4 linked regions of the Xenopus tropicalis genome follow. The protein of the gene in region 2 interacts with the protein of the main gene of each other region in a pairwise test. Links are inferred from orthologs where the notes say so. Each region holds a gene or a part of one and is shown on either strand. Other genes may lie near its edges. The genes, in order: nfix, qrich1, hspb8 and pogz.

Region 1 (8,369 bases), on a different chromosome or scaffold from region 2:
TAATGTCACTTACAGGGCGACGCTGGAGAAGACAGTCCTCCTTCTAAGACAGAGTTGTTGCTGGTGACAGGTTTTGTGTCTGGCAGGGGAAGGGGGACAGGCCGGGCCACAGGTGCAGGGGGTGGCAGCAAAAAGGAACCCGACATTTTCCCTTGGGCCCCGCTGCTGGGCTGCGGACAACATAAATAACAAAGCGAGAGTAAACGGAGCTCAGCGTGGCCCCTTGCCCGCACCGACCCTAAATGATTCTGTGCCTAAAAACTACGGGAAACTGGGGTATGTGTAAAAAAAATAAAAAATGAATTAAAAAAAATAAGGCAAAAATAATAATAATAAAGAAAAACGTAAAATGATTAAAAATGATTACTATTAGTATTCATGGTTTTGTAAACTGAACATAAAAAAAATAAAACTTTGTAAAATAGATAACTTATCATATTTTTTAATTATGACATTTTAGAAAAAATAAATCAATTGCTAATTAAAACAGGGGTTAATGGGGAAAAAAATGACTTCTGTGGTTGTAATTTAAAATAGCGAAACATAAATGAAGAACAGATGATATTGAAAAAAACAAAAGCAGAGAACGTAGAAATAAGGAGCTTTAGAGATAAGGTGCAATGTTTTCTTCAATGTGGATTAATGGACAGAAGAGCTGACAATCACAGAATATTTTGTATAGGGAAGTATGACTTAAACCTAGTATCGCAGGTTATATGTATATAATTTAGGTTGAGCCATTATCTAATTTAAGCAAATGATAAGGAGTGCTTCATTCTATAGAGAGAGAAATCCAGTGGTAGGAAAACAAAACGGCACTTGAGCCCCAAAACTAAAGCCCGGCATACTGACCAACATAGTGCCCAGCGTGGTTACCAGAAGGGCGGTATCTTGCAATATATCTGTTTATTGTAAACCTTCAAACACACTTTGTGGCAACCTATGTGTGAACAATCAGTGTACGCCCACTACGCTATCGCTAAAACGAAATTCACGCATGTATTATTTATTTATACAATGCAGATGCCCTACAGCAGCGCTTCCGTTTTTGTGCAGTCGCACAGACAGTTATTGCTGTTTTACACAAAAAAAAATGCTACACTTGGGGTCGTTTTCTAAAGATAACACCAATTAAGATTGGCTAATTAAGTTGCATTGTTACAGGGTATTCAATAAAGTCTGCTGACCATAAAACAAAATGCAGGTATGGGATCCCTTATCCAGAAAACCGTTACCCAGAAAGCTCCGAAGTACAGAAAGGCCAATTCCCATAAACTCCATTACAAGCAAATAAATCTATTTTTTTAAAAATTATTTCCTTTTCTCTGTAATAATAAAACAGTACTTTGTACTTGATCCCAACTAAGATATAACTAAGATATAACTAAGATATAATTAATCCTTATTGGAGGCAGAACAATCCTATTGGGTTTATTTAATATTTTAATGATTTTTAGCAGACTTAAGCTATGGAGATTCAAATTCTGGATAACAGGTCCCATACCTGTATTTGTAAAAATAAAAATATATGTATACAGCATATGAAACTACAAAAACAAGCTGCTTCCTCTGCACTATAAAAATACTGAAAACCAATCAGATAAAATAAAGGATTTTTATTTTTATCGACCCTATTTATTTTTTCTACCTATTATTTATTAAACTGCCATAAAATAAATATATTTATTTTTTTAACCTTTGCTAGACCTGGATTTATTTTTTATATGATTTAGGTTTAATTTTTGACTTTCATTTGTGTCATATAACAATTTGGATTTCGGTACAATTTGGAATATCAGATTTGCATTTATTCTGATAAAAAAAATAGAATCAGACTTGTGGAGGTTTATTTATCCAAATTTGAACTGGTGAATTTTAGCTTTTTCAATCTGAATAAACTTGAATTTTTACCAAACTCAAATGTGTGATTATTAATAAGTAAGAATGTAAAAAACACCATCAAATAAAACCATTAAAAAACTGGAATTCATATTCTACTCAACATTTGAGTGTTTTTGAACTTTTTGCACTTATTAAATATATTAAACATTGGAACATTTGAGTTTTTGAAACCATCATTTGAATTCATGAGTTTTATTTCAAAAGCAGAAATTAATTTTCGCCATCAAAGTTAAAAAAAAATATATATATATCATGAGAATCCAGTCATTTCCCATAAAAAAAATGCAAAAGCTGAGCATGTTTTATATAAATTTGTTTGCAATGAGCACTTCGATTTTTAGATTAATCCTTAATATTTTAAACACATAACTTTTTATTATTTATACATGTGTTATTAATGTATAAATAACACAAGTTATTTGAAAATATTAAAACATAAATAAGAAATACGTAATGAAAATAAAAATTACCTGCAATGGCAAAGAGTTTTCTAAGCCCTAATACTTAACCTTTTCTACTATTTTCTATTTGTTTTGATAGAAATGGATAAAAAACGTAAAAAGAAAAAAAAACAACAGGTTTTGCTCCACCTTCAGTGCGAGTTACTCACCTGTCCTGACCCCTGGCCAGAGGTGTCTGAGCAGACAAACTGAACAAACTCTTTAAGAGAGTCCTGGGTATGATGATGGTGATGATAGCGTATTGTTGGATGGGTGAAGTAAGGACTGGATTGCTGGATGATGGACGTTGAGGGGAAGTGAAGAGCAGACGCTGATGCCCGAGGGCTTCCTGAAAGTGGAGGAAGTCAGAAGTCTCAGAAATCATTACAAACAAAATGTAATGGCATTCACAAATATCCCCTTCCTGTACGACCTGGAACAGTGCACATAGTGAACCCCCTTTACTAGCATTGTACGGAGCTGCATACAATACACTGCTGTTGCAGTAGACAAAAAAAAAATACCTGCATCAAATGATTTATTGCATACTGGTACCTACATGGCATCAAGTACCTGAACAGCTCCCAAGTTAGACAGGTGGTATGAATCAGCTCCGACTGATAGCGGCCCCCGTTGAGCAGAACAAATGATGTAACCCTCTAAGCGCTTGCTTCCAGCAGTCATTTCCTTATCTATCTCCTAACACCTGCCACTTCAGCTGAACACACATCATTAAATATACATTGTTGCCCTATATATATACTATTGTGATATTGTAAGGAACAAGCAGCACCATGCATGTGATCCGGCCCTTACCTGGTCTCACTCCTGCCAGCACTGGGAGAGGGTGATGGGTGAATGCCATTCGAGAGGAACTGGTCTGTGAGGACAGAGCACTGCAGAAATCCAGCTTTCCCGGCTTTTTAAGTGACCCAGGCCCTTAAAATGAGCAGAGAGGAAAATCACAAAGTGTAAGCGCCTGTACTTTTACATCATTTTTCTATTTTGTATCCCAGTATGCCAAACGGGCACAAGCAAATGTGCTTATTTGCCATAGCCCTAAGCACTGGAAATACTGCTGCAATATACAGATTTACAGCAAGACTTACCTAAATTGTACCCAATACCCTTTTGCCTGCATACCAATAACAAGACCAGTATTTGCCAATAATGTATGAAAATGTATAGATAATTTATTTGTAGTATACAGACTGTCTGCCAACAGTCTAGTCATGAATCCCTTGAATATGATGTATATAGGGTATAATATCATTATAGCGCTGTGTTATATTAATCTGCACAGAATATGAAGAGCCCCATTACCTGTGTCTACATCATTTGGCCACACACTGGCCTGGCTGCCTCCTGCTGCAGGCGACCGACCTGTCCCCGGGTAAAAAACATCATCCACTGGACTCTCCATCTCACTGTCATCAAGAGACTTGGGGCGCTTGGTAGAACTGTAAGGTGGGAATTGAGAAGCAAATAATAACTTTGTACACTGCTAACATAGGAGCTCTACTGCATGGGTCCAATTAGCTATGGCAACCAATCAGACATTAGTTTAATTAGTACACTAGAAATTAGAAAATAAAAGCAAACATCTGAATGGCTGTCATGGGTTTTTTTTTGTGTTAGCTAATTTGCCCTACTATGTCACAATGGCAAAAGCCTCACTAACTTTCCATAGAAAAGACAATATCCATGTCCCATACCAATCTCTGTCTACGTAACTGTATCACCCTGCAGTGGGAGGGACAGACTCCATGTTCCATAGCTCCCTCCTGTCTGTGTCACTGTATCACCCTGCAGTGGGAGGGACAGACTCCATGTCCCATAGCCCCCTCCTGTCTGTGTCACTGTATCACCCTGCAGTGGGAGGGACAGACTCCATGTTCCATAGCTCCCTCCTGTCTGTGTCACTGTATCACCCTGCAGTGGGAGGGACAGACTCCATGTCCCATAGCCCCCTCCTGTCTGTGTCACTGTATAACCCTGCAGTGGGAGGGGCAGACTCCGTGTCCCATAGCTCCCTCCTGTCTGTGTCACTGTATCACCCTGCAGTGGGAGGGGCAGACTCCGTGTCCCATAGCTCCCTCCTGTCTGTGTCACTGTATCACCCTGCAGTGGGAGGGGCAGACTCCATGTCCCATAGTCCCCTCCTGTTTGTGTCGCTGTATCACCCTGCAGTGGGAGGGACAGACTCCGTGTCCCATAGCCCCCTCCTGTCTGTGTCACTGTATCACCCTGCAGTGGGAGGGACAGACTCCATGTCCCATAGCCCCCTCCTGTCTGTGTCACTGTATCACCCTGCAGTGGGAGGGGCAGACTCCGTGTCCCATAGCCCCCTCCTGTCTGTGTCACTGTATCACCCTGCAGTGGGAGGGGCAGACTCTGTGTCCCATAGCTCCCTCCTGTCTGTGTCGTGTCACTGTATCACCCTGCAGTGGGAGGGACTGACTCCATGTCCCATAGCTCCCTCCTGTCTGTGTCACTGTATCACCCTGCAGTGGGAGGGACAGACTCCATGTCACATAGCTCCCTCCTGTCAGTGTCACTGTATCACCCTGCAGTGGGAGGGGCAGACTCCGTGTCCCATAGCCCCCTCCTGTCTGTGTCACTGTATCACCCTGCAGTGGGAGGGACAGACTCCATGTCACATAGCTCCCTCCTGTCAGTGTCACTCTGCAGTGGGAGGGACAGACACCATTTCTCTAGCTACTTTTTATATGACTCAGAAGGTCTTCAATATTAACTGCTTTCCCACAATTCCCTTTGCATGAAAGTCCAAAATTGTGTATCTCAGGATCATCTGACTTACCTGCTGGAAGGAGGCGACGTTAAGGACCGCCTACCAAGTGACACCTGGTTTATATTGTAATAGCTTGGGCTCTCCAGGTCAGCCAATGAGAAGTTGGGGCCAGATGATGTGGCAACAGGTGCTAGAAAACAAAACACCCCAATGACTTGTAAGTTCCACTTTAGGTACCCTGACTTAATTCAACGGTTCCCTTTCTCTACTTTCCCTCCACACCCTACCAACTCACTCTGGGACACGCGTACAAGCTCAGTGACGTTCCACACTCCTGAGGTGACAAAGCAATCCTGAAAGGACAGGTGACCTGCAAGAAAACATAGAGGCTATAAAAGCCTAGGGGTTCCAGGGAGAGGAGAGGTAATAACAAGCTAAAGAGGAGCTTATAGGAAACTATTTCACAAATGTAATTGGGCACATTAGACCCTGCTACAATGGAACCTTGTAGCCAAAGTCCTGGTTAGAATTAAAAAACAAAATCTCAAAAGAAATAAAAGGAAGGTGGATAAAAATGGACTGAGAGGGGTTTGGAGTTAACTAAAATTTTTAATGGAGGACCTGTTAAGTTCCAAGCAATGGAAGGAGCTAGTATAGGTGGGGGTGGATGCATTTTTGGCATAAAAATGTATATAATGCCACACAAATATGATTTGCTATGACATATGACATTTATGGAAATGTGGATAATAGGGAAGACTTTTATGATGGTAGGAAGAAAAAGGGAGTGACTATATGGGAACAGGAGGGATCCTATAGTTATGGGCAGGTAAAGGAACAGAATGCATTGAAAAGGCATTGATGAGGGCAAAGTGTGTATGTTAATGGGGCTACTGGGAAAAATTGTATTGGAATGGTCATGTGAATGGGGAGCACTTCATAGAAAGAGTATGAAATGGGCAATAATAGGATGAAACTGCATGAGAAACAGTTTAAATAAAGGTTAGTATAAAGGAGCGATAGGGAAGCAGTGTATAAGGGGAAGGGGTAGTCTCGTCTGGAGGGTCTGCTCTGGGGGAACGGAGTGTAATTGGGGGGCTGCAAGACAGTGTGTTTGTATGGGGAGGAGGTGATTAGGTAGCAACAGGGAGGGACAAATAGTAAGGAGTGATATAAGTAGGAGCTGACTGGTGAAATAGTAACAGGGGGGACTGTGTGGCTTCAGAGCTGACCCACTGATGCACTACAGGAAAAATTATCAGGGGAACATACCATTTGGAGGGGGCTTTATATCCACCTCAGTCTGATTTGAAGCGTCCGACTGTCCAGAATCTGTAAAGAGAGAGAAGCGATGGAATAAAATTAGTGTTAGTCCATAATCAGCTTTAAAGTGTCATTTTAAATGTTGGTTAAAAAAGTAATTTGTGCTGACAAGTCACATGTCCATCCCGTTGCATGTACTCCATTGGCAATAACAGTCTTTCTCCTCCCAACCAGCAGCCGTTGGGCCAAATTACAAATGAATTATGTCATTAAAAATAATGATGCATTTTTACATTTGTGGCTAAAAACAATGTGGTGCAGGCAGAATGGGAGAAACCCGCAGTCCTGTCACAAGACAAGAGAAATTGTACTTTATCTGAAAAGCCAGTCACACAGGAATATAGAATTGAGCAAATATCCCTCTTTCCCCCTCTCTGCTCTGAATGAAAAACGTCATTATATCCCTCGGAGATCCCAGGTAAAGGTGTTAGTATGAGGCGCTCCATTCCGATCTGTCCATTATTATGCCAGTCCCTGGCCCCTGTGTTGCCGGCTAAGGTTAATATCATACATTAGTAGTGGCTATATTTTGCTGGCTAAAAATGATTTTTCCTTTTGAAAAGTGATAAATGTACAAGCTACCATTATTTTCTCCCACAGGAAGCCAATAAATTCCCACAGGCACCTAGAAAGCTAGTAAACTACCACAGGAATTTACGAAACTACAAACAGGAAGTTACTAAACTACCACAGGAAGTTACCAAACTACCACAGAAAGAGGATGAACTCTCAAAGGAAGTTACTAAACCCTCACCAGAAGCTACATTTCTGCTGGTGAGGGCTGTATGCCCAGTTCCCCCAGTTGTGCACCTTTGGTAGGTTGACATCTCTGGGACATGTAGTCTGTCCCTACCACTGTACGGTGAAACAGTGACACAGAAAGAAGGGAGCTATGGGACATGGAGTCTGTCCCTCCCACTGCAGGGTTCTACAGTGACACAGACAGGAGGGGGCTATGGGACATGGAGTCTGTCCCTCCCACTGCAGGGTGATACAGTGACACAGACAGAAGGGAGCTATGGGACATGGAGTCTGTCCCTCCCACTGCAGGGTGATACAGTGACACAGACAGGAGGGGGCTATGGGACATGGAGTCTGTCCTTCTCACTGCAGGGTGATACAGTGAAACAGAAAGGAGGGAGCTATGGGATATGGAGTCTGTCCCTCCCACTGCAGGGTGATACAGTGACATAGACAGGAGGGAGCTATGGGACATAGAGTCTGTCCCTCCCACTGCAGGGTGATATAGTGGCACAGACAGGAGGGAGCTATGGGACACGGAGTCTGTCCCTCCCACTGCAGGGTGATACAGTGACACAGACAGGAGGGGGCTATGGGACACAGAGTCTGCCCCTCCCACTGCAGGGTGATACAGTGACACAGACAGGAGGGGGCTATGGAACACGGAGTCTGTCCCTCCCACTTCAGGGTGATACAGTGACACAGACAGGAGGGAACTATGGGACATGGAGTCTGCCCCTCCCACTGCAGGGTGATACAGTGACACAGACAGGAGGGAGCTATGGGACATGGAGTCTGCCCCTCCCACTGCAGGGTGATACAGTGACACAGACAGGAGGGGACTATGGGACAAAGAGTCTGTCCCTCCCACTGCAGGGTGATACAGTGACACAGACAGGAGGGGGCTATGGGACATGGAGTCTGTCCCTCCCACTGCAGGGTGATACAGTGACACAGACAGGAGGGGGCTATGGGACACTGAGTCTGCCCCTCCCACTGCAGGGTGATACAGCGACACAGATAGGAGGGAGCTATGGCACACGGAGTCTGCCCCTCCCACTGCAGGGTGATACAGTGACACAGACAGGAGGGGGCTATGGGACACGGAGTCTGCCCCTCCTACTGCAGGGTGATACAGTGACACAGACAGGAGGGGGCTATGGAACACAGAGTCTGCCCCTCCCACTGCAGGGTGATACAGTGACACAGAC
Region 2 (7,273 bases):
CATAGGCTGGCTTTGGCCTGTGAGGCATTTTTATGGCTTCCAGTCTGCCCGAGGGCTCCATAAACCTCTTAATATGACTCCATTATATAATATAATGCAGCTTTTGAAGGCAAGGAATAACAAATACAACTCCTTACCTGGCTCCAAACATCGGGCATTGCCCAGAGCAGGACAACATCTGGATAAAGAGCAAGTCAACCCCCCCGGCGTAAGTTGGAACGACCCAAATGTGGATGATTTTCTTATATTCTGGTTTCAAGCCCCGCATTTGTGGGTGGCCCCTGGGCCTTTAGGGTCGACATGTTTTGGAGACTTAATTGAATACATAGTGTCTTTAATTTTGTGGTTTCCCAATGACCGTTATCATTGAAAGATGCAAATGGGTCCGAGATCCATCCAGTAGAAGACCTGCCCAATTAACACCTGGTCGATTTTCGGGTAGGGCCACTGGGGCCACTAGGCAGATAAGTTGGGGAATTGGTCTATAGATTTACCCCAGAGAGAACTCTGAAGCTTTATTCACAAGAACAAGGCAACTGTTGCACAGATGGAGGAGAAACGGCCCATTTAGTCCAGACACTTCAGTGGTTTCATACTAAATTATTTTGTCCCCCACCGCCAGTAAAACTGTGCCTTGTGACATTAGCCCGAGACCTTGAAGTTCACTTGGTATAACTGACACTTTGGTCTGACTGTCACTATACTTAGAGAAGGAAAGGTAAAAACTAAGTAAGCTGTATCAGAAAGGTCTATGTAAATACAAAGTCCTCTTACAAAAGAAACACAGAATTTCTTGTCTCCTTCTTTGTAAACATGTTCTTCAGTATCAGACTTCCTCTCCTTTAGGGCTTATTCAGGTTTGGGGCAGGAGTCTGCCCAATTTGCTCCTCTCTCCTGCTCCCTCATCCCATAAGGATTCATAAAACTAACCCTCACACCCCACCCCCCCCAAGCTAAAATGGCAGCTGCTATCTTAAACAAACAGAGGGAGCTTTTAGGGTTGTTTACTCAGGTATAGTAATGCTTTCTGCAGAATAAATATATTGTTCTAGGTGGCACTAATGTGGCAAATCTATTAAATGCCAAAATGACTTTCTTTCTCCTTTAAAGCTAGAAAGTGAGACAGGGCTACATCTCTACTATTAAGTTGGGACTGGATCCTGGATCCAATAAACAGGAAGTCGGCAGGGAATATAGATAAAAGAAATATAGATAAGACCCACCAACCCACATCTAAAAATCCTACCCACATGGTACAGTTTTTGGTTTTTTTTTTTGCAGCTGCTGGTACCCGGCCCACTGCACTACTCTACATTAAAGCACATGGTTCTCCATATGCTGTGAGGGCAGTCATTTGACACAAATTTCGATATTGTACCCAAGGCCAATACATTGGGTGTATGAAGCAGCTTTGTTAGAGTTGACACAATTGTAAAATTTGGTTTAGCTGAAGGAATAAGCCAATCAGTGTTGAATTGGGTTTGGGACCTCCCCAGTCTGAGCAACACTAAAGGAGTATGAGACAAAAGTAAAAACAGATGCATCTAAAGCTGGGGCCTATACAAGAAGGGGGGAATCTTTAATTCTAGTAACCAATAGCAACCCAGCAGGTTCAAAATAAACACCAAAATGGTTGCTGTGGGTTACTGGACATCAGCCAAATTATTCTATTACTATACAAGAGAATTTGTATAATTAGATTAATGAGAAGTGATGTCACCTTAATTGACACCACAGTATATACTTTTGCTATGAATGTATCCTTCCTATATTTTTAGTTACAATGACTAAAATGAAACCTTGCAGTGGAATCTGTTTGTTTTTACATCTAAGCCCCCTGCCAAAGGTGCAGTCAGTGTGCTTTGTTTGCCTCAGAAATAATAAAGGACAGCCTGTAATGCAGGGGGAATCAACCCCAAAAGAATATTTTCATATACGCCCACACTGAATCTAAGGAACAGAATGTGGGAGTAAAGCCAATACAAACTGCTTTCTCCCCTCAAGCCCCTCAAGACCAAGTCAGCAGCTTATTGGTCCCTGTATGGGCGAGTACTGGCCAAGGCCGGAGCTAAGGGTAGGCACGAGAGGCACGTGACTAGGGCACAATGGTGGTGGGGAGCTAGGCATGTATCTCATCACCCATCCCTAGTCCAGGCCCTTGTGACAGCACTTGGAATAATGGGGGTGGGTGCAGGTTGCCTGGCTAGCTAGGCCCGAGCACTGATCCTGCCATCCATACCAGGAGCCAGATATCAAGATGAGGACATTGATGCAGTCTCTGTAGGGCTACAGACTGATCAGATTAGCTCAGTTTGGTCTGAGGGGGTCTCAAGGTCTACAGGCATCTTAAAGACAGAACAAAGTACAGTAACATTTAATTTGAAAAACATGTAAGCCAGAGACTCACTGGGCAGATGAGGCACTTTCTATTGCTGAAAGCATATGCAAAGGTGTGCTTTATATCTGCGTTTATAAATGTAATGTTCACGGCAAGAGGCTTAGTGAATATTTCTCTCAGTTATCAAAATTTCTTGTTTTTGCCAAATATAGTTCCATTCCACGGAAAGTGAGGCTGGGCATTAGGTTCTAAATAAAAAACACACTGGTCAGTGGCATGTTAAAAAGACGTGCTTGTCATTCTTAATAAAACAAAGAGCATAAGAACAATGGAGAAATATGGAGATATCTGCAGCAGATACACAAGATTATATTACAATAAATTTACATAGGCTCATATGCCTGCAGTTTAAGGCCTTGATAATTTGGGCCAGGAAAAAAAAAAAAAAAAAGAAATATATTCAGGTTAATGTGAAATAATCCGACTTTTTCTGAAATATTTTTATATATGTAGTTATATAAAACCAGGGGTCGCTTGGCCCTGCAACTGAAAATACAGAATAAATGTCCATATATGTGGTAGGCAATGGCGTGAGCAGCTGCACAGTCCATCCCATTCAACCTAAGATGCCTTCTTTCTTTTCCCAAATAAAATAAAATATTTCTAGACCATGCTAAAAGGATATGGGGTGGGGGGGAAAAAGGTTTAAAATAACAATAACCGTTTCGCTTTCCAGCCATTTAGGAACGCAGATTTTTTTTTGTCTTTAAATGCACATTTGGGCGCTTTTACTTACACTTTATTTTAAACAGGAGAAGCCTAAAAGGGCTCCATAACTACACCAATAAAAAATAAAATAAAAATAACAGAAAAAGTAGGCATCTTCTCATAGTGTAAAAGTCTGTACAGGTTTCTTTATTTCCTCTCTTCCTTTTACATGACTTCTGTGCCCAGAAAGAATGATTTAGTGCATGTTGCTGGCACTCGCAACCACAATGGCTTCCTGGATCTCTCGGATGAGCAGAATTCGGGTTAGCATCTGTTCCATTTGCTCTCTGCTGATTGGCTGTGTAGAATACCAGATTGGACTGTTGGGTGCTACGACTGGTTCTGGCGTCAAATAGAATGTGTCATTTCGTCCTTTTACACTCTGTGGGCTGTTGAGTGGAGGGACAACAACAAGCCATTAATAATCTTATGCATTTAAATTGAACAATTATAGGTTACAGAGATAGAGACAAGAGAAACCATAACCCCTTCCCCTACAGAGGGCAGACATTGCTGAGTGGGAACATACTTAGTGGAAGCCGATATGGTCTATGCCTCCATCGTGCATGCTCCTGGTCAGTGACGACTTTCAGAAGAAACATGATGTGATGCAGCCACAGATGACAGGCACTAAACCCTCTGCAGTTACACAGCCGGTATAGGGGGCCCTGGGACTTGCAGGCACCAATATGGTTGGAGAAAGAGCAGAGGGTGCCCTCTGCAGAGGGCTATTGGTTAGGGTGAAGACACACAGAGCTACTAATAGCAGCTACTTGTAACAGCTACGAAAACAGACAATGCTGATCATTTACTGATAATTGTCTCCATGTGTGTTTTAGCAGAGGCAATTCTCAGTATTGTCTATGGCAGGGGATTTTCTGGTGTTTAGTAGCCTTGACAAGTTACATAGGGTTGAAAAAAGACCAGAATCCATCAAGTTCAACCCATCCAAGTAAACCAAGCACACACAACCTATACTTACCAGTCTATACACTCACATACATAAACTATATATACAACCACTAATACTAACTGTAGATATTAGTATCACAATAGCCTTGGATATTCCGATTGTTCAAGAACTCATCCAGACCCCTCTTAAAGGCATTAACAGAATCTGCCATTACCACATCACTAGGAAGGGCATTCCCCAACCTCACTGCCCTCACCGTGAGGAACCACCTACGCTGCTTCAAATGGAAGCTCCTTTCCTCTAATCTAAAGGGGTGACCTCTGGTGCGTTGATTGTTTTTATGGGAAAAAAGAACATCCCCCATTACATGCCTATAATCCCCTCTAATGTACCTGTACAGAGTAATCCTGTCCCCTCGCAAGCGCCTCTTTTCCAGAGAAAACAACCCCAACCTCGACAGTCTAACCTCATAGCTTAAATCTTCCATCCCCTTTACCAGTTTAGTTGCAGTCTCTGCACTCTCTCCAGCTCATTAATAGCTGCTACTAAATAGCTCTGTGTGCCTTCACCCTTAAACGGGGGGTTCATTTTCTTCTAATCGTACACACTCAGCAATTTCTTCGGGAGAGCAATACTTGAGACAGGAGTGGGTTTTTAAAAAATGATTTCAGCGATGAGGTACCCGCAGGGGCCTCTATTAGACAGCATTAAATGGGGTAAAACCTTTTCTTTCTCTTTAAACATTGTTATCAGTAATCACTGCCAAAGGCTGGAGCAGCCACCAAGTGACTGCACAGGTTTCCCTAGGGTGGCCAGCCCTACAGTTTGGGAAGCACTGTATTATGGGATAGTGGTTAAACCCTGCCCCAGTTCTCCCTTTTTCATCCAGTTAGTAGCAAGCACATCATCATAAACCACTGTGGTCTGCTGAAAAGTTAGGCTGGGTGAACTTCAACCAATTCCCACCAACACATGTAAGACCTTCAGTAGATTCATAACCAGATGAAGGGTACCAAAGTGGACGAAGTGCTTTAGAGAATATGGATGAGGATTACTAGATCACAAAGATGTACATACCATTTGAAGAGGTAGAAGTCATACAATTTAATGGGACATCGTAATGGATTTTCTGGGTTCTCTGTTTGCTCTGCATACATGTCGTCTGTTATTGAGAAACCTGAGGGAAATAATTTTTGCATCAAAATCATATATAGTGCTTGACATTGTTTCCATGATATCTGCCCTTTGCTAAAGCCACACTAACCCCAAGTAACATCACAACACGTTTTATTCAGGATGCATGGATTCGGCAATTCTGAGTGCCTACAAAGAGTGCTTGAATCAGGCAGTTAGGGTCAGTGTCCTCACATGACAGCTGTTTAAAACCTAAAGCCTGGCAGCTTCCCAACAAGGGCTAACACCCAAATCCCTCAATCACTTAGGATCCAGTAATTTGAGAATCCCTGTGCTCACAGCAACAGAAGCCACCAACCTCCAAAGTGTCAAATGTAACCATGGGTCATGTCAAAACAGCCCTAAGTGAACTTTCCTGGTCTGTTCTGCTGATGTAAATCAGGAGTTTTTAGTTATATATAGTGTCCTTTAGGTCTACTGCACAAAGGAGGAGGTAATTTTATGGAAATTGATATGGCCATAAAAAAAAAATGCACTGATGGGTAATTATCAGGCCTTTTGGTCACTTGGTTCTTTGTCATTCTACATTAAACCTCTTAAGCTTATATTATTCAGCATCGAGGCATTAGCCATCTGAAACATAACTAGCTGGTCCTTACTAGGCTTGGACCTTGATACTGGAATAAAACTATAGTTGTCACCTTTTTGCTGCCCTGCTTGATGGATCCCAAGTGCTTTCAGGTACCGGATGCTCGTGCTCTTATCCTTTGGATTGGAAGGATTTTTCTTCGTTTGCCTTAGGACTTTGGAGAAGGCCAATTTAATGTGCTGGTCAACAGTTTTTAACAGAAAATATCTGTTGGTAGAAAGTGTTATTTGTTACAACAGGCCATTTATAACATGACTATGAATTATAACTATTTCCTAATCCTTTTTATATAGTGCAGACACATTTCCACAGCACTTTACAGTGACTATACATCATTTGCATCAGTTCCTGCCCCAGCAGAGCTTACAATCTAAGCTCCCTATCACATTCCCACACACTATGGGCAATTTAGTGAGAAGCCAAATAACCTGCCTGTATGTTTCTGGAGTGTGGGAGGAAACTGGAGTACATGGACAAAACCCACACAGACATGGGGAGAACATAAAAACTCCTTGAAGACAGTGCCCTAAGCTGCCCTAGCTCATACATCAGCTCGACTACTTACTATGTGATGTTTGCGCACTAAAGGGCAAGCAGATACTAAGAATACTCTATGCCAAGTAGCTAATAGGAGAGAGTTGGCCTATTTGCTACCTTTGTTCACTGAGCAAGCAAAAAGGTTATGGCACAGTTAAAGGCCAACATTTTTTTATTTTTTACAAGATTTATTGTTCAACAAATGTGCCTTAAACGTATGGATTCTACTTTGCTCTATGCAGAAGTGTTGTGTATATTTATTGATATAAGTACCGTAATGCTGCCCTTTGGAAATTAAAATATCCGCTAAGTTAAAGTGTCTAAAGTTTCCATTGGCAAAATCTGCTGACTAATAAGTGGTTTATTATTTTCAGATTACTTACTTTGTGTTAAAAAACATAAGTGTTGTAAGTAGTGTGGCAGGAGAGTGGGCGCCCAGCTGCTTACACTCCCAAAGCATTTCCTCGGTCACATGGCTGGGGATCACATATCCTAAAAAGAATTGAACAAATAAGGAAAGATATCTCCATCTCCAGGTATTTCCATCTTATCACACATTTAACCCAGAAACGAACCCACAAAATTGTGGCCATAACGGAGGTACGAGTGACGCACCTGAAGGACAGTGAGAAACAATATTTAGTGATGTTCAGTGTTCTTACCAATAGGAGTGACTCTGGGCTGATAATTTTTCAGAACCTCATGAAGCCACTCTGTAAACTTGATGTAGTAGTTGTCAGAAAATATGTCGTCTACTCTTCCATTCTCACACAGGTACTGTATGCGAAGAGAAAAATAAGTTAATGCCTGTGTACAATGAGGCATTCTACATGATAGGTTACAAAAGCACACACAACAGTACAGTCTAGGAAGCAACTGGGGGGGGGGGGGGGGGGTAGAGCATAGCCAATCAGGTTATGATTTAAAGGTGAAG
Region 3 (8,857 bases), on a different chromosome or scaffold from region 2:
TTCTGCAATTTACATTCTATTGATAATTTTAGATGTTTTTTAGATATTAACAGCTAAAAACATCTAATACAAGGCTTTTAACTCAACAGCTGTCTTTGAAGGTCAAAGTGCCAGTAAGCCAAACTGTCTGTGTATGCTCTATGAGCACTGGTATGAGCAGTCTAAAACTGATAGAAACCCATTATCCAGAAAGCTCCGAATTATGGGAAGGCTATTTCCAATAGACTCCATTGTAATAAAGTAATTCAAACATTTTAAAATGATTTCCTTTGTTTCTGTAATAATAAAATAGTGCTGTGTATTTGATCCCAGCTAAGATATAATTAATCCTTATTGGAGGCAAAACAATTCTCCTGGGTTTATTTAATGTTTAAATACTTTTTTAGTAGACTTAAAGTATGGAGATCCAGATTATGGAAAGATCTAGAAACCCCAGGTCTTGAGAATTCTAGATAGCAGGTCCCATACCTGTAAAATCAATTATTATTTTGGGTGTAGATCCTATTTAACCCTGGACCCCCAGCTTTGACATCCTTTAGCTATTAGTGGAATGTTTTTCCTCAGCTGTTAAAGTGCTAGTGTTACTGGGACCCAGGGCAAATGTCAGTACACATTTTGCTCTTTTTTCAGTGATTGCATTAATCAGTGTAACATATATCCCCAGGCCAACAAAATTAATTCTAAAGAGTTATAAGCATTTTTTTCACAATGTGCATCTGTGTATCTGTCTGAGCCTGTCTATATCCCAGATAACCAATGAATGCCTCACACATGCACAAAAATTGCATTAATTGCAAGGCAAGGCCAAGCAGTTCATATGTCTGTGTAAATAAAAACAAACAAAAAAAATGCAGTTCAGCAGCCAGGGGTACATCAGGACCCCATAAGCAATGGTTGCCAGCCTATTCATCTAATCTGGCATTTTCTCCTTACAATAGGGATGAATAGTATTTTAACTGCATCAAAGAGGGTAAATGTAGCTTCACAATCCAGTTTCCCATATAAAGTAATCACTGGTCATGGTCACAATTTATGCATATTGATGCAGAGGTAGAACACATTTCATTTTCAGTAAACCAGTATTTTCAGTGGGTTGTGTTTTAATACAGGAGCCAACAGGGTTAATTATATGGACACTTCCTATGCTGTCCTGCTAAGTACAGAAGACAGAGAAGACTCAGTACTCAGTACAATAAATAAAAGCTGATTTTGGACCAAGGCTTTTAGAACAGGCTTTTCCCCCAATAAATTTTCTCTGGTAAAAATTGGCAGACAGATAGCATTAATAATTCTCAAGTGGTTGCTGTGGTTATGGCAAAAATAGGTGATTACTAACCTACGTGTGCCATATGCACACGAATTGTTCCAGAAAATTCCCAGCATTTTCAAAGGTTCCCAGCTAATACCCCATGGGCTTTAAGCCTTGCAGAGTGTTTCTAGGCACATGTGTTACTGATATACAAAGGGGCCTATTTATGATTGCTGAAGTCTTCGAGCCTAAAAGCTCCAAGTTGCGTTAAAGCTACCAAACGTTTTTTTTTTTTTTAACAGAAGCCCGTTCAGGAAAAATAAGGAAAGTTTCCAAGGTATTCAGACCCAGAACCCCAGCGTGAGTTAGCAGATTTACCCAGGGTTTCCTTTCCTGAAGGCCTGAGCAATCATAAATAGGCCCCTTAATAAGAAGCAATTAAGCCAATTAGCAGTACAGTTTGGAGGGTTGCCACCTCTCTTGAAATAAAATAGAGGCCTATCTTTGTTTTCTATGTCCCCTATTATTAGCACTGTCCAAGTGACACCCCTAGCTGTTCCCTTTTAAAAAAAAGCCTATCCTGGCCTTCTATCCCAATATAACCCTGTACCTGCTGCCAACCCTGTTTTAGAGCTGCCATGTTTGAACAATGACATTTGCTTTCCCCTGCAAGCTAAGCATGGGAATGTGACAAGCAGGAGATATATACTGTACCGTTCACAATGGTGGGCTACAATTAGGGACAGGTACATTTATTTTTTTAAACAAAAAAGATTTTAAACCACTGGTAATTTCATTTAGAGGGGTAGGCAAGGAGCAAATAAATAGGCACCATGTGCCATGTGGATTACCCACAATAAATGAATACCCTTTCATTGAACTGTCAGGCACTGAATTTACTCGTCTGTGAATTTTGTGTTATGGGTGCGAGTTGCACTAACCATGGAAGGAGCAAGAAGTGGAAGGAATGTGGCACATTTCCACAGTTCTGTTGCCGATGGAAATTAACAGTTAAGAAGGTTGGACTAAATGCTCAGGCCTGTGTGCCTATTTATGATTGCTGAAGGCTTCGAGCCTAACAGCTCCAAATTGCATTAAAGCTACCAAACGTTTTTTGTTTTTTTTAACAGAAACCCGTTCAGGAAAAATAAGGAAAGTTTCCAAGGTATTCAGACCCAAAACCCCAGCGTGAGTTAGCAGATTTACCCAGAGTTTCCTTTCCTGAAGGCCTGAGCAATCATAAATAGGCCCCTTTATAAGAAGAGTAATTAAACCAATTAGCAGTACAGTTTGGAGGGTTGCCAAACTGTACTGTCTTATGGGTGTGAGTTGCACTAACCATGGAAGGAGCAAGAAGTAGAAGGAATGTGGCACATTTCCACAGTTCTGTTTCCAATGGAAATTAACAGCTAAGAAGGTTGGACTAAATGCTCAAAATGGCCTGTGTTCACTGCTATTTATTTATTTGTTATCATAAACTTGGTGACAACTAATTTTCAGATGACTGTCACTTTTAAAGACAGCATTTCCCAGTGGCAGTTGCCTTACAAGCAGTTGCACCTGTGCTAGTAGCAAGTACACAAGGCAGATTCTCCTCCTGTCAATGTGCACATATGTGAGCATAATTAGTGTATTATTAGCTCTGATGTTCTTAAACTTTTTTCTCTCAGCCGGCCCTTTGATATCTAACATTTATTCAAGTCCTCTAGCCCACAACACACACATATGCACATACATATATGTAAGGATCAGCCATGAGGAATGGGCCAGAATACCTGCCAGGATACCTGATAAATCCTTTCTTTATATATGGGTTTCTCTCTAAAGTTTCCTTTTATGTTCTGTTTGGTTTAATTCAATATAGTATTACCTCTTTGTTTTTCAAAGTACCTCTTACTGTATATCCCAGTCTCGCTTCCTTTCACATTGTCTAGGGTTCAGTTGGAAGGGCTAATTTGATGAACTTTGGTCTTTTTTCAACCCAACTTAACTATGTAACTATTTATTCCCTAGCCTTTTTTGTTATTTCCTTCTCTTCTTTCTTTAAGTCTTCTGCTCTCCTTCTCTGCCCATCTCCCAAAGGGCCTTTCCTTTTTTGCTATAGCAACAGAAAGATGACAGGAAGTTCAACTTTAAACCTCTTGTCAAATTGACCAATCACCATGTGGCCCAGTTGATGCACTGAGCCTGAAGGAATGAAAAGTACAAGTGTAGACACAGGGAACAGGTCATTGTTTCAGGTACTGGTGCCGCCCTATTTCTGCATGCTGTCTTATTTCCATGGCCCGCAAATTGTGAATATCTGCCTTAGCAGAAACAGTCCCCTTACTGTAGGCAGAGAGATATACATCACAGGTACATTTACCCCACATTTTATCCTTATTGACCTTCAAGTGCCCCCCTCATCAACTGCCTCACAGAGACAGCCTGACAGTTTGAGAACTACTGTGCTAGCATGATCTAGTAAATAGTGTTTTGTGCATGCTTTGCTGTAACCACATTGCATTCTGTATAAGGATATGAGTGAGTTTAAGATGTGTGTGATGAAGACTTGACAAGACATATGTCACACACTTGGAACACATAAATCCACTAGCCTGAAGCCATATTGGCTTTAACCCCCAGTGTAACATTCTGCACACTGCTAGGCTGGGGTAAAGATATTGCAAAGTCACCATCGATTGCCACCAGTTTCAGTACTGTCCAGTGCTAATAATCCACCAACGAAGTAGTGCACTTTTAGTGTACTTGATAATGTTAGCCCCCTGACAAAAAACTTTTCTTTATCATTAAAGGAATACTGTCATAGGAAAACATTTTTAAAACACATCAGTTAATAGAGCTTCTCCAGCAGAATCTGCAATCTGCATCTGCATCTGTTTTTCAGACAGATTTTTTATATTTAATTTTAAAATTTGAAATGGGGCTAGCCATATTCTTCATTTCTCAGGGTGCCACAGCCACGTGACCTGTGCTCTGATAAACTTCAGTCACACTTTACTGCTGAGCTGCAAGTTGGAGTGATATCCCTCCCTCCCAGCAGCCGATCAGCAGAACAATGGAAGGCAGCAAGATGGCAGCTCCCAGTGGATATCAGAATAGCACTCAATAGTAAGAAATCCAAGTCAGGCTTGGGACTCCTCCAGTTACATGGGAGTAGGAGAAACAATAGGTTGCCTGAAAGCAGTTCCAATGTGTAGCGCTGGCTCCTTCTGAAAGCTCAGACTCAGGCACATGGCGCCTACACACCAATAGTAGAACTAAAAAACACCTTTGTTGGTTCAAGAATAAAATTTTAAATGGTAGAGTGAATTATTTGCTATGTAAACAGTGTAATTTAGAAATAAAAACTACACTGTAAAAATCATGACAGAATCCCTTTAAATTATGTCCGAGACAGGCCTCTATCTGTAGGTGAACTACAGTTCCCTAAAATCCCTAGCAATCTGGGACTTCTGGAGCATTGCCCATACACAACCCCCAAATTAGTTAGTTGCTTTGCTGTTCTGAGGCAAATATTATCAGTATATGCAGATTATTATCTGCTTGCTATGCCTAGATGTTCTTATTAGTAATTCTATTATTTCCTTTTTTCTATTCTGTAATGCATGGATTAAATGATAGGTCAAAGCTTATGCCAGTAGTAATAAATTAACTCTGAAGTCTTTTTGTCAGACGATTAAGCTTTTAGCACACAAAACCCTATAGTTGCGCATTGGCACGAGTGCATCAGTGCCCACCTTCTGTTCCTAATTGCTTAATAGGTTCAAGTGTGCTACTGCCACCCGGAAAGTGGCATTAATTCCATGGTCCCCACTACAGGCTGTGTTAATAGGTGCAGTAGACTTGCTAAACTCCTAAAGAATCATATACATACATCTTTTTTATGCTAAGTGCCAATACTGACTCTTTCACTGCCACAATTATGCAACATTTGTGGTGGGAAATGCTGCATTGTGGGTAAAAATCTTTGCATCCTATACTTACATTTGTAAATAAACCCCAGATAAGCCTAACTAAATGATCAGTGAAGCAAAGAACATGTGTATATGTATATATTGTTACTAACCTGAAACTTCTACAAAGCCATCCTTCGTTTTAACTGTCAGCTCCTCTGGCTTGAAAGTTTGCACATTTACGCAGACCTTCCATGGCTGGCTGATATTTGCTACAGTGTTACGAGCGTCAGGATAACCCGTGTATCTGGAATTATATACGGGTGGGGGCATCCCTGATCTCACCAAGCCTGATCTTAAAGGGCCCGACCAGGCAGAAGTCAGTCTGGGCCTTGCCCAATCTGGCCAGTCCATGGTTAAATCATCTGAAAAAGGTGGAATGCCAAAATCTTCATCAAGAAGGCGAGATGACAGTCCTTGTTCTCGAAAAGGATCACGGCTTCCCCTGTGTCTGTTAGATGGGTAATGGCAGGTGAAGGGTAACTGACTGTCAGCCATTATTTTTCTTTAGCTGTGACTGGAAAATGTCAACCTGATTATGGTTATTGTAATTTCCGTACAGGCAGAATAATCTTCAGGCAGTGCAGCCTCTTGGCGAATGCTTTAATAGCAAAAAAAAATAAAAAATAACCAGAAAAAAAGAGTAGCTGTGGAATTAAATCAGTTAAAAGCAATCTAAAATCTTTCTGGATCTGAGCAGACTCATTGAAAAGAAGAGAGGTGCCTTGATCCTTTGACTCGTGTGGCTGCCAGTAAGTCTATTAAACACTGGTGCCATCAGTCGAGAAAGTTCTGTAAACTTCTGTGCTGCAGTCACTGGCTCCTATTTATATCTGCCTGTTAATGCTTGCTGCCTGTAGCTTGTCAGCTGGGTATTTGAAGCTTATGAAACACCCTACAAGAATCTGCTTTTGTAACAGCTGATGACTCCCAGAAGAGACTGGACCTATTACTAAGGGTATCCAATTTTAGACTGCCTTCTCCTGCTGACCCCTCCTTGATTCCTCTCGCGTCTTCCATCCCCCCATCGCGTCGACATTTGTATTTAGAGAAAACCACAGGCTGTGTCATTTTATACTTGTTATTAAATTAAACTCTTATAAAACAAGGTCACCCCCTCCATTGGATAAATTCCATTAAGTTGTTTCTAATGCCTTATTCATTCTGCATATTTTGTACTGTACAAATTATATTATATATAGACTTCATTTTACCTTTAACTGGTACCTTTCTGTATGGGTTAAATAACCCATACTTAACTTTTAATTTGCAGTACAAGCCTTATTTTGATGCATGCTTGGCATATATTTAGTTTTCCCCTTTAAAGGGCAAGTAAACCCTTAGGCAATTTTGGAAAATTGACATTCTTTTCCATTCTATTTCTAGAGCACCCTTTGCATGAATAGGATTTTGAGATACAGACCAATGCAGGCTGCAAAGCAGTATTTTGGCACTTTATATACACCATCTTATTGAAATGTATTTAATTAAAATTTTCTTCTCTTTGCTGCTAGAACATCCTTAACCCTCTGCTGTACTGGGAAGTTTTTAATTTGATTCTAGTTGGGGGATCTACTAGTAGCTACTTGGCAATGCTGTATTTAGGTCCAGTGCCACCCTAGACACCAGACCTAAATGAGCCCCCAGTTTGCGGAAGTGATGCCACGTGCAGCCTACACGGGATGTCATTTCCGCATCATGTACCTCTCACCCCCCCTAGCTCCATCACTGGTTTTATGCAGGAACTCTCCGGTGGCAGGTGAGTTTTTTTATTTAAATAAATCTATGATATAGACATCCAAGGGACGCCCCCAAAAGCTGCTGCTGCTCTAGGCAGAGTACCTTGGGTGCCCTGGTTTTGGATAGGATTTACTTCCATTCATATGTACTTTGCACTGATGTTAGGGATAAGGCCTGGCTTACAGTCAACATTCCAATTCTTGCCACATATGTTAAGTTGGATTGATGTCAGGGCTTGCTGCAGACCATTCAAGTTCTTCCTCTCCCATTTTAGCCAATTCATACCAATTCTGTATGGACCTCATATTATGCATAGGGTAATTATAAGGCTGAAACAGGAAAGGTCATCCTCAATCTTTTGCCACAAAATAGGGAGCATTCATATGTCAAGAACGCCATTGTATCATGTAGAGCAGTGATCCCCAACCAGTGGCTCAGGGGCAACCTGTCACTCACCAACCCCTTGGATGTTGCTCTCAGTGCCCCCAAACCAGGTAGTTGACTTGGTGCCAAGTTTTGGTTGAATAAAAACAAGATTTACTACCAAATAAAGCCCCCTGTAAGCTGATAGTGTGCATAGAGGCTGCCTAATAGCCAATCTTAGCCCTTATTTGGCTCCTCCATGAACTTTTATGATTTACATTTGACTGTGGCTCACAAGTAAGAAAGGTTGGGGACCCCTGATGTTGAGGAACCTGTGTGGCGAATGATAGTTGAGACTTAAATAGCCAATTCTAATTATTAGAATTAGGGTGTATGCACACTGCTATCCACGTAGTGTATATCTAGAGGCAGTAGTTAGCTACAACCATAAAAAGTGAGCCAGGGGTTTTTGGGATAAGTTTAACTGAAAGAATAAATCATAATCAATGTTTATTCACAAATTTCACCCCCCAGTGACTATAATCGCTTATCTTTTACCCCAGGCTGGTGCTCCTGTAAGAAGAAAAGAGCACCAGCCCAGGGTACTTGCATCTGAGTGTCTCTTTTTCGTTCTTGTGCGCAGTAGAGTGAAAAGCCAAACTTTAACAAAAAAGTCATCTTTTTCACTCTATGGCTCATGCGCCGGCCCCTGGATTCAGGAAGGAAGAGGAAACACTCGCTGCTACCCCGGGCTGGTGCCGTTTTGTTCTCACAGGAGCACCAGCCCGGGGTAAAAGGTAAGAGATTAAAGTCACTGGGGGTGCCTAACATTTGGTACCCCCCAGTGATTTTTACCTTTTCTTCTCCTTTAAGTGGAACATGCAGTAAAAACTAGCAGCATAAGGCTTCTGCAATTCTAGAAATACATTGACATTGTGTGGAAAAGCTTTCTGTATCATTTAAAGCAATACTCTGATCATTCATATAGATCCCCTGTAGGTTAATTAAAACACATTGGAGTAGACTGCCTCCATAGATTTCTTAAGGTCATAAGGTAGCCATACAGGGGCCAGTCCTCACAGGTATCCAGTCAATCAGTTACCCTTGGGCCCAATGACTGATACCATACAAAGGGCTATACACCACTTGTTCACAATTATATTATTCCAGTTGTTTGGACAGAAGGCCAAGTTGGCAGTTGGAGCAGGAGGAAGTGAAGAGCTGAAGCTCCTCTTCACTTTCCTATACACTGATGCACCATACACTAGCAGATAAGATGCATGGGCATATTAAATTATACAACATGTACAGTTTAATATTCATAGTATATGGGTGAGCCGCCATGCATATAGCGAAAATAAATTACTGTATCAGTACATGAAACACCAGCTTTAATAAGATATATACACAGAGCTAGTTTTAGTGTTTACATACAAGCTACAGCCTAGGCAAACCAATGATCCTTGAGTATGCTTCACTTAGTAAAGGAGAAATGCTTCATTATGTAGAGCCTATTGTAATTAGTGTGATATTTTTTTCTGCACCACAT
Region 4 (8,369 bases), on a different chromosome or scaffold from region 2:
GCACAGTATATACACAATACCGGGTCTGTCTGACCCAACCGGTGTCACTGGCACAGTATATACACAATAGCAGGTCTGCCTGACCCAACCGGTGTCACTGGCACAGTATATACACAATAGCAGGTCTGCCTGACCCAACCGGTGTCACTGGCACAGTATATACACAATACCGGGTCTGTCTGACCCAACCGGTGTCACTGGCACAGTATATACACAATACCAGGTCTGCCTGACCCAACCGGTGTCACTGGCACAGTATATACACAATACCAGGTCTGCCTGACCCAACCGGTGTCACTGGCACAGTATATACACAGTACCGGGTCTCTCTGACCCAACCGGTGTCACTGGCACAGTATATACACAATACCGGGTCTGTCTGACCCAACCAGTGTCACTGGCACAGTATATACACAATACCCACCCATGAATCCCTTTACAAACTGGCCAGCTGGAGGGTACTTACTTGATCATGTGGTTGGCGTACGCCCGGGAACAGCAGGTACTATAGCGGCACAGGGAGCAGTGCACGTAGGTGGGGAAGTGGTTCTGGAAGTCAGTGATGTCCAAGCTGCACTCCAGGCACGACTGCCTGCCATAGGGTGGTCTGGGGGCAACAACAAAAATGATGAGAAAGTGAAAGGAATAATAAATGAGATGAGGTTCTGTGACTCCCCAAAATCTATACTCTAAGTCAGGGGTGGGCAAACTTTTTGGCTCAGGGGTCACATTGACTTACCGCCAGGCCAGGCCAGTGTCACAAATTACAGGGCCTCTCAGCTCCCCACCCAGCATCCTCCAGCTCCACCCCCAGCATCCTCCATCCCAGCGTCCTCCCACCAGCATCCGCCATCTCTCCCTCTTCCCCCAGCTACCTGCGGCTCCCTCCCTCCTCCGGCTGCATCCTTTTATATGATTGCGCCCCGTGTGTGCTGATGTCATGCGCATGCACGGGGCGCAACCAATCAGGGGCTGTAATTCTTTTAAGGGGGCACGAGATGGTAGGCTATAGTTTGCCCACCTCTGCTCTAAGTGCACTCCATCCCCCATCACTAGGGGTGCATTTTAGTTTTGCACATCATTTAATGCCCCCCTACATAGATTCTCTCTCTTACAACTGTAATGTACACCAGTGCCCAAGGTCCGAGGGCACAAGTCGGGCACCTAGTGGGGGGCACAGTCACCTTTTGGTGTGGATGTTGGAGAGATTCTCAGACGTCTTCTTCACCGTGCGCTTGTACTGCATGGAATACAGCGAGTCGGCCAGCGAGTCCGTGTCCATGTCCACTAAGGGCATCGACGTGGTGTCTGCCGACGATACAGGAAGGGACCGTGACGGTGCCCTCGATGCCCGGATTGTAACCTATTGGGACGGAGAATGAGAGGAAGTGGGTGGGGGGGGATGCACAGGGAAGGGTCAGGCATTATACCAGCGGTCCCCAAACTACGGCCCACGGATTGGATCCGGCCCCCCACTGCGTCCTCCCACCTGGAAGTGGAGAGAGAGGACTCAGCAGGGAGCTGAGATGGAGGACGGACTCCAGGGGGAACTGGTACAGGTAGGACTTACCGTAGCGCTGGGGGGGACGAGTTGGGAGGTGAAGACAACAGTCTGGTTTGATGGAGGCGGTGGTGGGCGTGATGTGAAAGAGAATGTGGGCTAATTCACCAGCATCCCCCCCCCCGGCGGTGGCTGCTGGTGATGGTGGTCCAGCCCCCCCAACAGTCTGAGGGGCCCTTGATCCGGCCCCTTGGGTCAGAAGTTTGAGGACCCCTGCATTATACTATCCCTGGGCAATACAGCAGGCCAGGTTCCATTACACTGTCCCTTACAGCCAATCAATTTCTTCCCTATATCACCCCCCCCACCCCAAACAGCACCCCCTTACCTTTGTCCCGGGTTTGAGCCCCTCCAGCTGCCTGGGCTTACGGAAGGTTTTGTGATGCTGCAGTTTGTGCTCGATCTTGTCCTTTGCGAAGAGGAACTGTAGGCGGCACTTGTTGCAGTGATAGACGCTCTTCTGCGGGTTCCACGGTGGGGGGGCGAGGCGCGTGCCGAGAGAAAGAAAACAGGCGGTGATACAGGCGCCATTAAACTCAACAGGGATTTAAAAACTCGCCCCCAGAGGGCTGATGGGAAACAGAAAAGGGACTGACCTGGTGGCGCATGAAGTGCTGCTGGAAGGCGTTTCCGTTCTTAAACACCTTCAGGCAATAGACGCACATCAGGTAGCGCGTGTCCTCGTGGTTCAGCCGGAAATGCGTGTCCACCTCGGCGTAAATGGAGGATCGGTACTGGCAGACCTGCCCGCGAGAAATGGAGGATAGGGAAGTGAGCCGAGCGGGGGGGGGGGGGGGGGGGGGGGGGGGGGGGGGGTTGGGGGGGGGGGGGGGAAGGGGCAGAGAAGAGAGACAACTGCCCTTACCTGGCACACGTAGGGCATCTCGCCGGGTTTGTGCGTGTCCTTCATGTGCTGCAGGAATAGGGGCTCGCTGTCAAACGCCCACTCGCAGATCTTGCACTTGGCTGCCAGGGCAACAGCGACCATTAGGGGCAACAGCGACCATTAGGGGCAACATTCACTAAAACTGTAAAACTAAACCTTTTTTCCCCCCTGAATGTATAACATTTACTAAGAAAAATATCCAATAGGAAAAAGTCGCTGCGACAACTCGATGTTTGTCTTCACCCTTACACGTCAAGCCCTGCCCCCCACTCCCATAATTTCCCATCATTCCCCATCATTCTCATCGAATATTGCTACCCACTCTTTTTTTTACTACGCCCGCCCCCAGCAGCTAATAAGGGACAAAGTAATCCCTGTGTCGTCCAATCACATGAATGAATCACAGAAGGTCCCACTATTTTGGGATCCGGCCGAACCTCAAATCCTTTGTGAAAGATTCGGCCGATTACAAAACTGAATCCCAATTTGCATATGCAAATTACGTTAACTTGAAGGGTAAAACAAAAAAAGAACAAAAAAAAGTTTTCTACTTCTGTGTTTATGTGACAAAAAGTCACGATTAAGGATTCAGATTCAGCCAGGACCATGGATTCGGCTGAATCGGCAGAATCTTGGCCGAATTCTGAACCAGATCTACTGCGCTAGTTGGCCAAAGTAACTGTTAATTACACTACAGAATTCTATAAATCTTCTTCCCTTCATTCTAGGAGGTCACAATCAGAGCCAGTGGGTAGGCGCCATTGTGGCAAATTTTGTACCAGCCCCAATCCTATGTTCCTATGCTATAGGCAGAATGTCTGCGGATGATAATGCTTAGCAGGGCCAACTCTCCTATCAAAGCCAGCCCAGGGGCCCTTGGGCCTAAATCGCTCCTCCCCCTGTGTGTGGCACCTACTTGTGGATTCGTACGAGCTGTGCACGTTTTCCAGGTGGCACTGCAGCTGGAAGGGGGTGGAGAACTGCCTGTAGCAGTGTTGGCACGTGGTGTGCCCGTCCACCTCACCGTTCTGTTGGTCCAACTCCACGTGATGTTTCATGTGGTTCATGAACCTAAAGGAAGCAAGGAGTTATGGGTAACAGGTTACACCCCTAGATCTGGGGTTGCATGGCACAGACACCCACTGAGGAGTAAACCACTAGCAAAAACCCCTGGGCATCATACTACTTAGATACCAAAACCCTGCCCCAAATGGTACCCAGGTTATCAGCTCAATTCCAACTTGTGGGCCAACTAAGCAGTATGGCACCCCTATCTAAGCCAATGCCCTACATCCAATAGAGTTTAACTATTTCCCCTTTACCCCAGGGACCCAGAGGAGCAGGACAAACCCTTACCGTATATTATTTTTTAGCCTCTTGGTACAGTGCGGGCAGCGGAACGTCGTGGCCACTTTGGGATAGGACTGCATCTGGTAGGTGTTCCCAACATCCCGCCCGTAGTAGAAGTCATCCACCAGCATGATGAGCTTGCCCTGCATGCCTTCCTCCTGAGAAGATTCCTGCCCCTTGCCCGCGGGGGGCGCCGTTGTGGAAGGAGTGGTGGATGAGGGAGTGGCTGCCGATATAATTTTGTCAGTGCAGATCGCTTGGGTGGTCTGTGAGGGCAGCTCCGATTCCTTGCTCTTATTAGAGAAATCCAGAAGGTCTGGGCAGCAGTACTGTAAAATGGAGGTCGTGTAAGTGGAAAGTGAGTTATAAGCACAGGTGAGAGCCTCCGCCGATCCCCCAAACCCTTCCCACCAAGGCTTCCCATTATATACTCTCAATTTCCCTCTATATTGTGCTAATGGAGACGCACACACAATGTACAGTTATGTTCCTATTGCAGGGCTTCCCTCCATCCCATAAAGGTGAGAGCCTCTAATACTGCCCCTCTATAGCTTCCTGTTATCTGCACCATAAAGCACCAGTATTACCGGGATGGGATCCCTTATCCGTAAACCCGTTATCCAGAAATATACAAATTACGGAAAGCCGTCTCACATAGACCCAATTTAATCAAAATTATTCAGAATTTTAAAACTAATTTCCTTTTTCTCTGTATTAATAAAACAGTATCTTGTAATGGATCCCAACTAAGATTTATTTAATTACCCCTTATTGGGGGCAGAACAGCCCTATTGGGTTTATTTCATGGTTAAATGATTCCCTTTTCTCTGTAATAAAAAAACAGTACCTGTACTTGATCCCAACTAAGATATAATTACCCCTTATTGGGGCAGAACAGCCCTATTGGGTTTATTTAATGGTTAAATGATTCCCTTTTCTCTGTAATAATAAAACAGTACCTGTACTTGATCCCAACTAAGATATAATTACCCCTTATTGGGGCAGAACAGCCCTATTGGGTTTATTTCATGGTTAAATGATTCCCTTTTCTCTGTAATAATAAAACAGTACCTGTACTTGATCCCAACTAAGATATAATTACCCCTTATTGGGGCAGAACAGCCCTATTGGGTTTATTTAATGGTTAAATGATTCCCTTTTCTCTGTAATAATAAAACAGTACCTGTACTTGATCCCAACTAAGATATAATGAATCCTTACTGGATGCAAAACAATCCTGTTGGGTTTAATTCATGTTTTATTGATTTTTTAGTAGACTTAAGGTATGGAGATCCAAATTACGGAAAGATCCCTTATCCAGAATACCCTTGGTCCAGAGCATTCTGGATAACGGGTCCTATACCTGTACTCTCATCGGAGGAGGAGGAGGGAGGGGGACTTACACACATATGGCCTCTGAGCGCCTCCGTCACACGGAACTGAGCACGGCACCTTGGGCAGAACTTCCTGTTGCTGTCGGAGGAGTCGGCGGAGGATACGGAGGCAGCGGTACCTGAGAGGTGAGAGGAGATACCAGTGAGTACATATGGACGGGGGGGGGGGAACGGTGATGGGACATTATATCCGGGCCCAATGTTTGAGCAGAACCCAGAAAGTAAAAGGGTGAGCTTCTTACATTTCATTCCCGATGGCTCGGGGGGCAGGATCCTCTGCACGGTGCTGCTGCTGTTACTGGTACTGCTGCTGGTGGTGCTGGGCAGGACAATCTGGCTGGAGTTCAGAACCGCACTCTGATTGCCGCTCACCGCATTCACGAACTTCACCAGGTCGTTGGGCTCCCCGGTCTTATTGACAGCCACCAGGTTGGCAATACTCACTGGGAAAGCATGGGTTAAACTGGTCAGTGGGCGACCATTGTACAAAAGACCGACCCATAAACACGTCGGTACCATTAGTAAAGTTTGGGCCTAGGGGGGACCGACCCATAAACACGTCGGTACCATTAGTACAGTTTGGGCCTAGGGGGGACTGACCCATAAACACGTCGGTGCCATTAGTACAGTTTGGGCCTAGGGGGGACTGACCCATAAACACGTCACTGCCATTAGTACAGTTTGGGCCTAGGGGGGACTGACCCATAAACACGTCGGTACCATTAGTAAAGTTTGGGCCTAGGGGGGACCGACCCATAAACACGTCGGTACCATTAGTACAGTTTGGGCCTAGGGGGGACTGACCCATAAACACGTCGGTGCCATTAGTACAGTTTGGGCCTAGGGGGGACTGACCCATAAACACGTCGGTGCCATTAGTACAGTTTGGGCCTAGGGGGGACTGACCCATAAACACGTCGGTACCATTAGTACAGTTTGGGCCTAGGGGGGACTGACCCATAAACACGTCACTGCCATTAGTACAGTTTGGGCCTAGGGGGAACCGACCCATAAACACGTCACTGCCATTAGTACAGTTTGGGCCTAGGGGGGACTGACCCATAAACACGTCACTGCCATTAGTACAGTTTGGGCCTAGGGGGGACCGACCCATAAACACCTCACTGCCATTAGTACAGTTTGGGCCTAGGGGGGACTGACCCATAAAAACGTCACTGCCATTAGTACAGTTTGGGCCTAGGGGGGACTGACCCATAAACACGTCGGTGCCATTAGTACAGTTTGGGCCTAGGGGGAACCGACCCATAAACACGTCACTGCCATTAGTACAGTTTGGGCCTAGGGGGGACTGACCCATAAACACCTCACTGCCATTAGTACAGTTTGGGCCTAGGGGGAACCGACCCATATGTAACTATTCACTCTCCCACAGTCACTGGTACCAAGTTGGGGAAGGACAGGAGAGACCCAGCTTACCAAGCTTACCAAGGTTGGAGCTCGTGCTCTGGCTGTTCTGATTGGTTGCCAGGATCTGGGTCTGTTGAGGCTGCATGGCAATCTGTCGGATGGGCTGGCTGGGTGCAGAGGTAGTGGCCATGCTTGCCGTGGGCTTGTTGGGTTGTGCGTTAGACTGGGGTACTGTGCTTCGGATGGTCAGGGTGGCCGGGATGACGGTGGTGAAGGTGTTGGTGGCTGGCCGCACTGGAACAGAAGGCGCCGGTCTGACCTGGGTCACTTGGGAAAAGACCTGCGGTACCCCCACACCTGGCTTCATGAACTGGGTGCCTGGCGCTGGGGGCGGAGAGAGAAAGGGACAGGATACAGAACCAGAATCATGGAAAGATTGGGTCACTTGGGTAAAGACCTGCGGTACCCCCACACCTGGCTTCATGAACTGGGTGCCTGGCGCTGGGGGCGGAGAGAGAAAGGGACAGGATACAGACCAAGGAAAGCTGGATAAACATGGCTTCCGCTAATGAGCGGACTGATCCAGGTGACAGACTGGGGTCCAATTCGGACTTACCTGGCACGATAGTGATGGGTCTGACAGTCTGGCCCTGCTGCACGTTCAGCACTATCCCCACCTGATTCATGGTGTTCATGGCGTTCTGCACCGGCCTCACGTTCCGCACCGGGAAACCCTGCAACAAACCAATAAGCCATTAATGCATGTTAAAGAACTGTGCCGATTTGCTGAGTGAGCCCCGCCCAGGGCAGGGTCCCGCCCATAAACAGGAAATGGTAGACTGGATGTCAGTAGGTACCACAGCCGCCATATTTGCCCTTACCTGGGTAGTGATGAAGATGGGCTGGGTGGCCACGGATGAGTTGCTGGCGTGGTTGGCGTTCTGCATGACTTGCATTGGGCGCAGCATCGGCTGAGGGACCATCGTGCCCAGGCCAGCGCCAGCATTCTGGGTCAGTATAAGGGGCTGCCCGCTCGACTGCACAATTGGCGTCTGACCTATGAGAGACAGAAATCATGAATATCCCATAATGCACAGGGAGCACCAAGGGGCCGCTTTTGCAGCGAGACACACATGCGCCACGGGGGCCACTTACCACTGTTATTTGCAAAGAGCGTCACCAAGGTTTTCTTGGCAGAGTCGCTGTTCTGCGCAGCGCTGGTGGTTATGGTGGTGGCGGTGGAGAAATGGCTGTTCAGGGGCTGTTGAGTGACCACGGGAAGAGGAGCCACCGGCTGCAGATTGACTGATACTGTGGGGGAGAGACGAGAGACTGAGCCCCAACTCCATTCCCATAACTACTTACATTTCTTTCTTTGTATTCCCTATACTAAGCACAATTCAGCAGGAACAGCCCCCTAAGTTTGCTCATAGCCTGTACAGAGAGATACCATAAAACCATGGCATATAGGGACTCCCCTGTACTAAGCACAATTCAGCAGGAACAGTCCCCTAAGTTTGCTTATAGCCTGTACAGAGAGATACCATAAAACTATGGCACATAGGGATTCCCCTGTACTAAGCACAATTCAGCAGGAACAGCCCCCTAAGTTTGCCCATAGCCTGTACAGAGAGATACCATAAAACTATGGCACATAGGGACTCCCCTGTACTAAGCACAATTCAGCAGGAACAGTCCCCTAAGTTTGCTTATAGCCTGTACAGAGAGATACCATAAAACTATGGCACATAGGGATTCCCCTGTACTAAGCACAATTCAGCAGGAACAGCCCCCTAAGTTTGCTCATAGC

The links.
Region 1: the proteins of qrich1 (region 2) and nfix interact in binary tests that used the Homo sapiens proteins (3 or more experiments, as listed by UniProt). The two-hybrid records come from large-scale screens. The link is inferred for Xenopus tropicalis from reciprocal best matches to the Homo sapiens genes QRICH1 and NFIX.
Region 3: the proteins of qrich1 (region 2) and hspb8 interact in binary tests that used the Homo sapiens proteins (3 or more experiments, as listed by UniProt). The two-hybrid records come from large-scale screens. The link is inferred for Xenopus tropicalis from reciprocal best matches to the Homo sapiens genes QRICH1 and HSPB8.
Region 4: the proteins of qrich1 (region 2) and pogz interact in binary tests that used the Homo sapiens proteins (3 or more experiments, as listed by UniProt). The two-hybrid records come from large-scale screens. The link is inferred for Xenopus tropicalis from reciprocal best matches to the Homo sapiens genes QRICH1 and POGZ.

The regions. Positions count from the first base shown.
Region 1 is NC_030679.2:139,500,895-139,509,263, forward strand, and holds part of nfix (nuclear factor 1 X-type), read right to left. Parts: intron 6,427-8,369; coding exon 6,367-6,426; intron 5,465-6,366; coding exon 5,390-5,464; intron 5,285-5,389; coding exon 5,164-5,284; intron 3,803-5,163; coding exon 3,666-3,802; intron 3,282-3,665; coding exon 3,159-3,281; intron 2,692-3,158; coding exon 2,513-2,691; intron 171-2,512; coding exon of another isoform or gene 14-170; intron 1-13.
Region 2 is NC_030680.2:136,782,953-136,790,225, forward strand, and holds the end of qrich1 (glutamine-rich protein 1), read right to left. Parts: intron 7,117-7,273; coding exon 7,002-7,116; intron 6,832-7,001; coding exon 6,723-6,831; intron 6,010-6,722; coding exon 5,855-6,009; intron 5,197-5,854; coding exon 5,097-5,196; intron 3,496-5,096; coding exon 3,303-3,495; 3' UTR 2,614-3,302; downstream 1-2,613. UniProt on the Homo sapiens protein: Transcriptional regulator that acts as a mediator of the integrated stress response (ISR) through transcriptional control of protein homeostasis under conditions of ER stress.
Region 3 is NC_030677.2:165,804,761-165,813,617, reverse strand, and holds the start of hspb8 (heat shock protein beta-8), read right to left. Parts: upstream 5,947-8,857; 5' UTR 5,704-5,946; coding exon 5,319-5,703; intron 1-5,318. UniProt on the Homo sapiens protein: Involved in the chaperone-assisted selective autophagy (CASA), a crucial process for protein quality control, particularly in mechanical strained cells and tissues such as muscle. Displays temperature-dependent chaperone activity.
Region 4 is NC_030684.2:144,800,575-144,808,943, reverse strand, and holds part of pogz (pogo transposable element with ZNF domain), read right to left. Parts: intron 7,871-8,369; coding exon 7,715-7,870; intron 7,617-7,714; coding exon 7,441-7,616; intron 7,294-7,440; coding exon 7,176-7,293; intron 7,061-7,175; coding exon of another isoform or gene 7,017-7,060; intron 6,944-7,016; coding exon 6,629-6,943; intron 5,635-6,628; coding exon 5,434-5,634; intron 5,311-5,433; coding exon 5,201-5,310; intron 4,127-5,200; coding exon 3,804-4,126; intron 3,519-3,803; coding exon 3,364-3,518; intron 2,528-3,363; coding exon 2,427-2,527; intron 2,305-2,426; coding exon 2,158-2,304; intron 2,022-2,157; coding exon 1,890-2,021; intron 1,364-1,889; coding exon 1,185-1,363; intron 608-1,184; coding exon 467-607; intron 1-466. UniProt on the Homo sapiens protein: Plays a role in mitotic cell cycle progression and is involved in kinetochore assembly and mitotic sister chromatid cohesion.